Linked DNA regions of Mus musculus. The protein of the gene in region 2 purifies or fractionates together with the protein of the main gene of each other region. This does not show direct contact. Links are inferred from orthologs where the notes say so. Each region holds a gene or a part of one and is shown on either strand. Other genes may lie near its edges.

Region 1 (4,688 bases), on a different chromosome or scaffold from region 2:
AGCACCATCAATTCTGTGATCCTGTCGAATCACTGAGCAGTTGGCTCGGAGGAGTAGTTCCAAGTGTGGTGAATTGTTACTTGTGTAGCTCTCCCCTGGACTTTGGGGTTGGGTTATGGCCTCTGAAGCTTGGCAGGCACTCGTTGCTAGGCTTTCTGAGACTTATGGCTGTAGCTTGAGGCTGACAAAACTGTGGCTTTTCCTTTTTTTGATTTTGATTTTTTTTTTTATATTATCTGCTTATTTCTGAAAGTTCATGGTATATTGGCTGTTGTTCACAGCTTGGTATCAGAGCCAAACTCAGATATAGTGCTGTTGGCACCCGTCTTGGCAGGTGTTTGTTTTTATTGTTAAGGAATAAAAATGACCCGATATAGTCAGCAGCAAGGATTGCTTGCAAGAGAAGATTCTCGCTCAAAGCCAGGTGTTTCACCATGCTCATCTCCTAGACTTTTCTCCTAGAAGTTAGGGAGGGTACTAACAGTCTGAGCCCAGCCCTCCCCTAAGGTGGCTCTTCTGGCTGGGTTAGTGAGCATAACTGTGTAGGTTGTAGGAAAGCACAGTTGGATTCACTATGTTACCAATACTTGAACTCCTGAATAGTGTTTTAAAGAGTGCTTTTCTGACCCATGGCATCACACTTCCACCTGACCCACACTTTCTTACCATGTTGTAGATAGGAAAAATATCTAAAAACAAAAAGAAAAAGCTGAAAAAGAAACAGAAGAGACAGGCTGAGTTGCTGGAGAAACGCCTACAGGAGATTGAGGAATTGGAGCGAGAAGCCGAAAGGAAAATCCTAGAGGAGAACATCACCTCTGCAGAAGCTTCCGGGGAGCAGCAGGATGGAGAGTACCAGCCGGAGGTGACACTGAAAGCAGCCGACTTAGAGGACACAACTGAGGAAGAGACAGCAAAGGATAATGGTCAGTACAGCTCGGAGCAGGAGGGAGGGCTGCTGGGTGTGTGGGAGCTGCACACAGGGCTCATCTCTGAGCCACAGAGTGCCTTAGAGCATCTGAGCTGCCACCGCCATTGGCACTAAGGACGGCTTTCTTGAGCTTCTCGGTGGAGATGGGGGCAGCAAAATATCTGCCAGGTGGATGCCAACATCTCAAAGTAGGCTTTGAGAGGGAAGGAGGATGTCTGAGAAACGTGTTAGTGCTGTGATGACCCTTTCTTCATTTTGTGATTAACCTTTTCCTAACTTTAATGCAGCACAGCTCTTATTCTAAAATGGCAGAAGAAAGGGTTAATGGCTGGAAAAATGGATCAGTAGTCTTGCAGAGGAACCAAGCTTGGTTCCCAGTACTAACAGTGTCAGGCTGTTCATAGCCACTTACAACTCCAGCTGTAAGGGGGTTCACACACTAAAGATCAGGTACAGTAAACATCTTCAAAAAAGAAAAAGAAGGGCTTGAAGTGAAAGTCCAGTTTTACTTGTAATTCCCCCTACCCCCCAGAGCTAACTTGTTCCTGATGAGAGGGCTCATTATTAAATGAGCAGAAACAAGATTTAGAAAGCTCCCTTGCCTTGGCAAACAAAAGACATGTTCTGAGGTCCGTTAGAAGTGGCTCCTAGCCAGGTGTGGTGCATGTGCAGGCCTTTGATCCTGGCACTTAGGAGGCAGAGACCGCCAGATCTCTGAGTTTGAGGACAGCCAGAGCTACACAGAGAAACCCTGTCTCAAAAAAAAAAAAACAACTAGAAAAGTATAAAAAAACGGGTCTCTTGGTATGAGGCCTAACTAGAACTACTTTGAAAGGAGAGCCATGACTCTTGATCTTACTCTCATCTTCTTTAAGGTGAAGTTGAAGACCAGGAAGAGAAAGAAGATGCAGAGAAGGAGAACGCGGAGAAGGATGAAGATGATGTTGAACAGGAACTTGCAAACTTAGACCCTACCTGGGTGGAGTCCCCGAAAGCCAATGGCCATATTGAAAATGGCCCGTTCTCACTGGAGCAGCAGCTGGAGGATGAAGAGGACGATGAAGATGACTGTGCAAATCCCGAGGAGTATAACCTCGATGAGCCAAATGCAGAGAGTGATTACACGTATAGCAGCTCCTATGAACAATTCAATGGTGAATTGCCAAATGGACAACATAAGACTTCAGAGTTTCCCACACCGTTGTTTTCTGGGCCCTTAGAACCTGTGGCCTGTGGCTCTGTGATTTCAGAGGGATCGCCACTTACCGAGCAGGAGGAAAGCAGTCCCTCCCATGACAGAAGCAGGACAGTTTCAGCCTCTAGTACTGGAGATTTGCCAAAAAGTAAGTGCCCTTTTGCATCTTTGTCTGCTTGCTCTGCTTGCTCTTTGGCAGACACTGTGAAGGGAGTGAGAGGGCAAGAGAAACCCTTACATTTTAATGCTTGTATATTCAAGAGAAAATACAATGCTTTAGACTATATCTGTCCTTTAGGCTTGCTCTTACTCTCTGAAATCCTATCCCTGGGCTTTCTTTATTTATTGTATATTTATTGAATGACATCATAGTTAAAATGCATTGCACCATTACCAAACTCATACCTTTCTAGACACCAATCCTCTTCTGGCTGGTAGTAGTAGTTTTGGGTTTTCTTTCTCTCTAAGGGAACACCTGTCTGCTTTCAGCTATACCAAGAGAGAACTTGTGTTTTATTAGATAGTTGACCTTGTTTATACAATTCTCCTTCCTTCCTTCCTTCCTTCCTTCCTTCCTTCCTTCCTTCCTTCCTTCCTTCCTTCCTTCCTTCCTTCCTTTCTTTCTTTCTCTTAAATATTTATTTATTATATATGTAAGTACACTGTAGCTGTCTTCAGACACTTCAGAAGAGGGAGTCAGATCTCATTAAGAATGGTTGTGAGGGGCTGGAGAGATGGCTCAGCGGTTACAAAGCACCGACTGTTCTTCCAGAGGTCCTGAGTTCAATTCCCAGCAACCACATGGTGGCTCACAAACATCTGTAATGGGATCTGGTGTGTCTGAAGACAGCTACAGTGTACTCATATATACATTAAATAAATAATTCTTAAAAAAAAAAAAAAAAAAAAGAATAGTTGTGAGCCACCATGTGGTTGCTGGGAATTGAACTCAGGACCTTCAGAAGAGCAGTCAGTGCCCTTAACCTCTGAGCCATCTCTCCAGCCCCAAATCCTGCTTTCTTTTTGTTTGTTTTGTTTTGTTTTGTTTTTTGTTTGTTTTTATAAACAGGGTTTCTCTGTGTAGCCCTGTCTCTCCTGGAGCTCACTCTGTAGACCATGCTGGCCTCAAACTCAGATCTGCCTGCCTCGACTTCCCAAGTGCTGGGATTAAAGGTATGTTACACATCTGTGTGTTTAAAACTGAAAAGAGCCGGGCGGTGGTGGCACATGCCTTTAATCCCAGCACTTGGGAGGCAGAGGTGGTAGATTTCTGAGTTCAAGGCCAGCCTGGTCTACAGAGTGAGTTCCAAGACAGCCAGGGTGACACAGAGAAGCCCTGTCTTAAAAAACCAAAAAAAAAAAAAAAAGTATGTGCATCGGTGTTTTGCCTGCATGTGTGTCTGTATGAGGACGTCAGATGCCCTGGAACTGGAATTACTGACAGTTGGAGCTGCTGTGTGGGTCCTGGGAATTGAATCCAGGTCCTCTAGAAGAACAGTAGATGCTCTCAACACTGAGACACCTCTCCAGTCCCAGAAAGAAATCCTCAGAGAGAGAGAGAATGAGAATTAATTTATAATTGTAATGAGTGAGTGAGGAAGTGCTATCTAACTTAGGCAATCTAAAATTCTAGTGCAGAGAGATTGCAGTCCTCATCATTTTCATGTAAAGAATGCTTGGGCACTGTGAGAGGTGAACTTATCTGTTGATCGGCAGGATGCTGTGTAGTTGCCTTGCCTGCTTTATCTTGGCAGAAGTAAGTGGACAACAACTCATGCTTGGGCTCTACTGTCTCCCCCGAGAGCCCTGGGCTTTCTTTTGCTGTTCAAGCTTGCTCTGCAGTCCCTTTGGGAAGTTACACATCTTACGTGTGCATTACCCTGGTTTCTGTTCTTACCTTATGCTTGGTGTGCTGAACTCTTCCTGTGTGCCCATGATTTCCATTGGCTTCCCTGGCATTGCTGGTTCAGTCCCTGTGTGGTCTAACTACTGAGTCCTAGCAGCAAGTGAATCCTGAGCAGGAAATGGAGTGAGCTGTGGTATGAGCTGCTGTGGGTGAAGCAGCAGTGTGCAGGGCCTCTCTGGGTCTTAGCTTCCACACTGCTGTCGTGAGTTGATTGTCATTGGCACTCTTCTTCTTTTCTATCATAGGCCCTGAGTTGTAGTTTTTGTCAGATGACAAGCCTGGCAAGTGAGAACCTTAGTTGAGGAATTGCTTTCATCAAGTAGGCCTGTAGGCATGGCTGTGGACGTGTTCTTAATGACTGATGTAAGATGGCTCACCTCACTGTGGGTGGTACCACCCCTGGGCAGGTGGTTCTGGCTGTATAAGAAAGGAAGTTAGGTAAACCATAGGGAAGAATTCAGTAAGAAGCATTCCTCTGTGGTCTTTGTTTCAGTTTCTGCCTCTGGGTTCCTGCTTGAGTCCCTTCCCTGATGTCCTTCAGTTGTGGTATATGATGTGGAAGTATTAGCCAAGTAACCGCTTTCCTCTTCCAAGTTGGTTTGATCAGTGTTTTATTGCAGCAATAGAAAGCAGTCTAGGGTCTGCCAGCCCTTGCT
Region 2 (5,322 bases):
GGGTTTTTCTGTGTAGCCCTGGCTGACCTCAAACTCAGAAATCCTCCTGTCTCTGCTCCCAAGTGCTGGGATTAAAGGCGTGCGCCACCGCTGCCTGGCTTCTGAACCCTTTCTTAAATAAGGACTTCAAGGACCATCCTGAGCAGCAGCATAAAGAGCCCCACATGGCAACTTTACAGCACACTCAGGCACATTCATCTAGACAACTCGTAACTCAAGATTCTGACATATAGGAATGCTATTCTTCTCATTTAACTTGCCTTGCTCCAGAATGAAGAAAGTAAAAGGGACTTTGGAATATCAAACATTAAGGTTCTCATTCAGTCTTATACAAACTGAATTTTTAGACTTCTGGTGCTTTTATTTCTCTAAAAATAGGGAATATGTGTGCATCACCATGTCTGGCTGCCATTTAATTTTTAATCCTTAGTCATAATCTACATTGGTTACATAAAATCAATATCCATCTTTAAAAAGTGTAACCACTACTATGTCCACAATAGCCATGTAGTTAAATGGGTAGAATGCTTGCCTAGCACTCCAAAGCCCTGTGTGTGATCCCTAGCACTGCACAAACCAGCCATTGTGGCACAGCCACTAATTCCAGCACTAGAAGCAAGGATTAGAAGTTAGAAAACAGGGACTAGAGAGATGGCTCGGTGATTAAGAGCACTGACTGCTTTTCCAGTAGGTCCTGAGTTCAATTCCCAGCAACCACATGGTGGCTTGCAACCATCTGTAATGGAATCTGATGTCCTCTTTTGGTGTGTCTGAAGAAGCTACAGTGTACTCATATATATAAAATAAATCTTAAAAAAAAAAAAAAAAAAGCTAGAAGATATCCTTGGCCAAACGTTGAGTCAGAGGCAACAAACTGAGACCCTATCTAAAAATAAATTAAAGGAGTAGGCCAGAGAGATGGTTTGGCAGTTAAGAGAACTTGCTATTTTTGCAGAGGACCTGGGTTTAATTCCCAGCACCTACAAGGTGGCTCACAACCATCTATAGGAGCAAACAGAGTGTACATATTATGTAGGCAAAACTCAAATATAAAGTAAATAAATATTTTTAAAAAGAAAATATTTTTAGTCTTTTTTTTTTTTGGTTTGGTTTTTCAAGATAGGGTTTCTCTGTGTAGCCCTGGCTGTCCTGGAACTCACTCTGTAGACCAGGCTGGCCTCAAACTCACTGAGATCCACCTGCCTCTGCCTCCCAGGTACTGGGATTAAAGATGTGAGCCACCACCTGTCTTAACTTTCAAGAGATGATGATGGGTTCTAAAAGTTGGGTTAAATTTCACACAAATCATGGCTTATAGGACTGATTCCCACAGCTTCTGAGGTTAGAAGCAGCATATCTAGAAACCCTCTTTGTGAATTCATAACTAATTCTCTTGTCCTAAATTTTTAATAATTTTATTTATTTATACTTCATATGTAAGTATAATATGTAATACCATATCCTGCCCACATGTCTCTGCACTAAACACACACAGCGTGTCAGTGAAGGCCAGAAGTGGGTGGCAGATCTCTTGGAACTGGAGTTACAGATAGATGGTCGTCTGTATCATGGGTGCTGGGAATCACTGCAGGTCCCCTGCAAGAACAGCCAGCGTTCTTAACCCCTGAGCCATCTCTCCAGCCCCTCCCACTCTAAATTTTAAGAGAGAACCCAAAATCAAACTAAACCCCTGGAGGGCTCTCCTGAGAAGTCGGCCCACACACATCTGGCTACCTATCCTTTTCCTGAGTCCCTCTTCCTACCAACCCTCAAGGTTTCCGTCTACATTTTTCAGCTGTTGATAAACTTAACCCCTGCTTAGAAACATCATCACACTAATCACCAACCAATCCCAAGTGAATCTTCCAAATGCATGGTATTATGTGACTTAATACAGTTATAAAAGATCACAAAGTAACGCAGCAACTTTCCTGCATGTTCTCCTTTAGTACTGCTACATACACAGTACTAAACATTATACGGATATATGTGGGTAGATGCCTTGAAGGCCAGAGGTATCAGATTCCCCTTGGAGTTGAACTTCCAGGTAGGTGAGAGCTGATTGAACTGGAATTGAACTCTGGTCCTCCTGCAACAGCAGTACGAGTGAGCTCTTATTCTCCCCATGTTCTCTCCAGTCTCTGAGTGTTTTCATCATTTTTTTAAAAAAATCTAATCAAAACCCTAATTATGCAAATTACAAGGAGATACAGAAGTCAGCTATCCTTGCAGCCTTACGGAGACAAGAGTATACCTAATTTTTCCCCCCACCAGTTTGAGACAGTCTCACTATGCAGACCAGGCTGGCCTCGAATTCACAAGAGATCTGTCTGTCCTGCCTTCCCAGTATTGGGAACTACAGGGATGCGTCACCAAGCCCCTCTATGACTAACCCATATTTAAACACAGTTTTAGTAGCTAAATCAAAGTGGGAGGGACTCCTCGAAAGCCTGTTTTGTTTGCCCTGTAGATGGGAATTTCTCGTATCTCAAAACCACCTCTATTGAAATCACTATATTTACCTGAAGTGTTGCTTATGCATGGTCTGATTCCACGGTCAAAGCTAAGGTGGCACGAATGCTATGGTTAAGGGTAAAATGCCACCTGGGCCAACCTACTCCACTCTGTGTCTTCAGTCTGTACCCTGTAGTCCAGATAGCCACTAACTCGTGATCCCCTCTGCCTCAGCTTCCTAAGTGCTGGGATGACAGGCATGTGCCAGGACTCCAGGACCCTAGCCCACTTTTAACTTGCCTTTCTCTACACCTCCTCCTGAGAGGCCTCGGGGCTGCCAGAGGCTGGCGTGACTCATCCCCCAACTTTAGAGCAGGTGCCTAGACCTCGGGTCCGCCGCCCAGGCCGGAACGGGCCTTCCTCCGTCCCCGACGGCTCCTGCGGCCTGGTCCCGCCCGGTCCGCCGTACCTGGGTTGGTGCTGGCCGCCGAGCGGTTGATGGTGCTCCGTCCTTTGTACTTGGGCTTCACCATCCTGACGACAGTACCGACACCGCTCTGCTACTCGCGAGGTAAACCACTTCACGACTTCCCAGCCGGGAAAGCGTCCTGTGTGAAGCACGTTGGACCCTGAACACGCGCGACGTCACTTCCGCTCGCGCTACGCGACTTCCTGAGAGCGCGCGGCGCTTGCCTAAGGCTGACCCGGCTCCGCCTCTGTCCTGCTCCCGCCTCCCCCGGGTCTAGCAACCGTCAAGCGTCCCTTCCATAGCAACGTCCAGGGCACCGGGCAGTCCTGGGTTTAGTGAGAAAAAGAGAGAAAGAGAAAAAGAGAGAAGCCTGTTCTCGGCCCAGTGCATGAGCTGATGGGAATTTGCCCTCTGAACCTTTCTAAAAGTGTTCCAGCAAGAGCGGGCAAATATCAGAACAGGTCATACCTGCCTTTAAATTTTAGGCTGGAGTAGAGCAGTTTTTAGTAACAACAGACTTTGGATTCAAGCCTCAGCTTGAAAGAAAGAGAGAGAGACAGAGAGACAGAGAGAGAGACAGAGAGAGAGAGAGAGAGAGAGAGAGAGAGACAGAGAGAGAGAGAGAGAGAGATTTTAAATTCTCCAATGGTTTATTATCGCAAAGAGAGACAGATTCAAACTCCTTCCAATCCCTACAAAACTTGTGATCTGGCTCCGTTCCTCTGACCTCATTTCTCCCTCTTCTGACATTTACACTGAATGTTGCTCTGTTTGATCACACATTCCCTGAATCGGCATCGCTGGTTCCTTCTGGTCAGTTCCTGCTCAAATATCCTCTATCCATAGGATTGCAAACACTAGCAAATTCATCAGCATGGTGACACACACCTATAATACCAATGCTCAAAAGGCAGAGGAAGGAGTTCCAGACTTGTCCACATTATATAGCATGACTTGTCTCCAAGAAGGTGGAGGAGTAGGAGTAGGAGCAGGAGGAGGGGGAGGAGGAGGAGGAGGGGGAAGCAGGAGGGGGGGAGGAGAACATCAAGAAAAAAAATACAAGACAGTGAAATTTGAATTTCAGGTTAAAAATAAATAAACACACTTTCTAGCTTATATTCCAATCATCGTTTAGGATAACTTAAAGGATCTAAGGAAACATGATATACTTGAGAGGCTAAGGCAGGAGGATTGTCACAAGTTCAAATCCAGCTTGAGCTACATAGAGAGACCCTACACCAAAAGATTTTTTTCACTGTTCACTTGTTTTTAAATGGAACTACATTCTCTTGATCTATCTGGCAGCAGCTCCTTTGGCAGAAGTATTTGCTGAGTTACTGATTTAAGTCAGCCACTCTCTTCCTGTTATTCCATCCCACCTCACTTCACGGCACATGCCACTACCCGAAATGACTCTGTTCACAAGAGCATTGGCTGCTTTCTTGGGTCTAGGCCATAAGCTTAGGAAAATGGAAATCAGGTACGTTATTCACCTCCGTGTCCCCAGAACGTAACAAAGCTGAGTGTGTTGGCATGAGCCTCTAACCTCAGCATTTGAGGTTAGACTATCTGCCGTGAGTTCAAGGCTAGTCTAGCCTGGGCTATATAGGAAGATACAAGCCAAACTGTAGAAAAAGACATTATCTTTTTGTTTGTTTGTTTGCTTGTGTTTTGAGATAGGGTTCCTTTTTGTAGCCCTAGCTGCCCTGGAACTCACTCTGTAGTCCATGCTGGCCTCCAGAGTGCTGGGATTAAAGTGTGTGCCACTTCCAGTGTGGCGGTGTGCCACCACAGCCCTCTGAGACATTATCTTGAGAGAGAGAGAGAGAGAGAGAGAGACTGTCACAAAGGTGCAGTTAAGTATGTAAAGGTCCCCTGGGCTTAAAAATTAAAAACACTTTGAACAGGCATCTGACATAAAATAAGGCCTTACTAAATCTTTCTTGGATGAATAAGGACAGAGGTGGGGGGGGGGTACCTCTTGTCTAAAGGGCCCCATGAGACCCAGGGAATTCTGTTTCCCAGATTTCAACCAAGTGCCTTTTCTGTTGGGACTTGAGTTGACAGGAGTGCCTATCTGTGTGCCTTCGAGAAGGACCAGAAAAATGCTGATTGAGTAAGATCCATGAGAAGTGTGGGGCCATTGGATCTGAGTTCATTTTGTAAGAAGAAAACCTGTGGTGAAGCGCTCCAGTTGAAAGAGGTACAGTTGAGCGCTTCTCTGAGTCTAAAACAAACAAACCCCGAAATATTCTTTCTAGAGCAAAAGCAGACTGTGTCCAGAGGAGAGATGGGAGTCTCTTTCCCTTCTTAAACTTTGCTTTTCTTGCCTCAAGGGCAAGTGTCAGGAGACTCAACTCTCCTAGGAAGGCCCTACCCCTCATATGTGCCTAAGGGGA

The links.
Region 1: the proteins of Gnl2 (region 2) and Srpk2 purify together in Homo sapiens (affinity purification with mass spectrometry; 3 studies listed by BioGRID and IntAct, with this or other methods). This does not show direct contact. The link is inferred for Mus musculus from reciprocal best matches to the Homo sapiens genes GNL2 and SRPK2.

The regions. Positions count from the first base shown.
Region 1 is NC_000071.6:23,521,734-23,526,421, reverse strand, and holds part of Srpk2 (SRSF protein kinase 2), read left to right. Parts: intron 1-676; coding exon 677-926; intron 927-1,806; coding exon 1,807-2,274; intron 2,275-4,688. UniProt on the Homo sapiens protein: Serine/arginine-rich protein-specific kinase which specifically phosphorylates its substrates at serine residues located in regions rich in arginine/serine dipeptides, known as RS domains and is involved in the phosphorylation of SR splicing factors and the regulation of splicing.
Region 2 is NC_000070.6:125,027,796-125,033,117, reverse strand, and holds the start of Gnl2 (nucleolar GTP-binding protein 2), read right to left. Parts: upstream 3,105-5,322; 5' UTR 2,988-3,104; coding exon 2,924-2,987; intron 1-2,923. UniProt on the Homo sapiens protein: GTPase that associates with pre-60S ribosomal subunits in the nucleolus and is required for their nuclear export and maturation.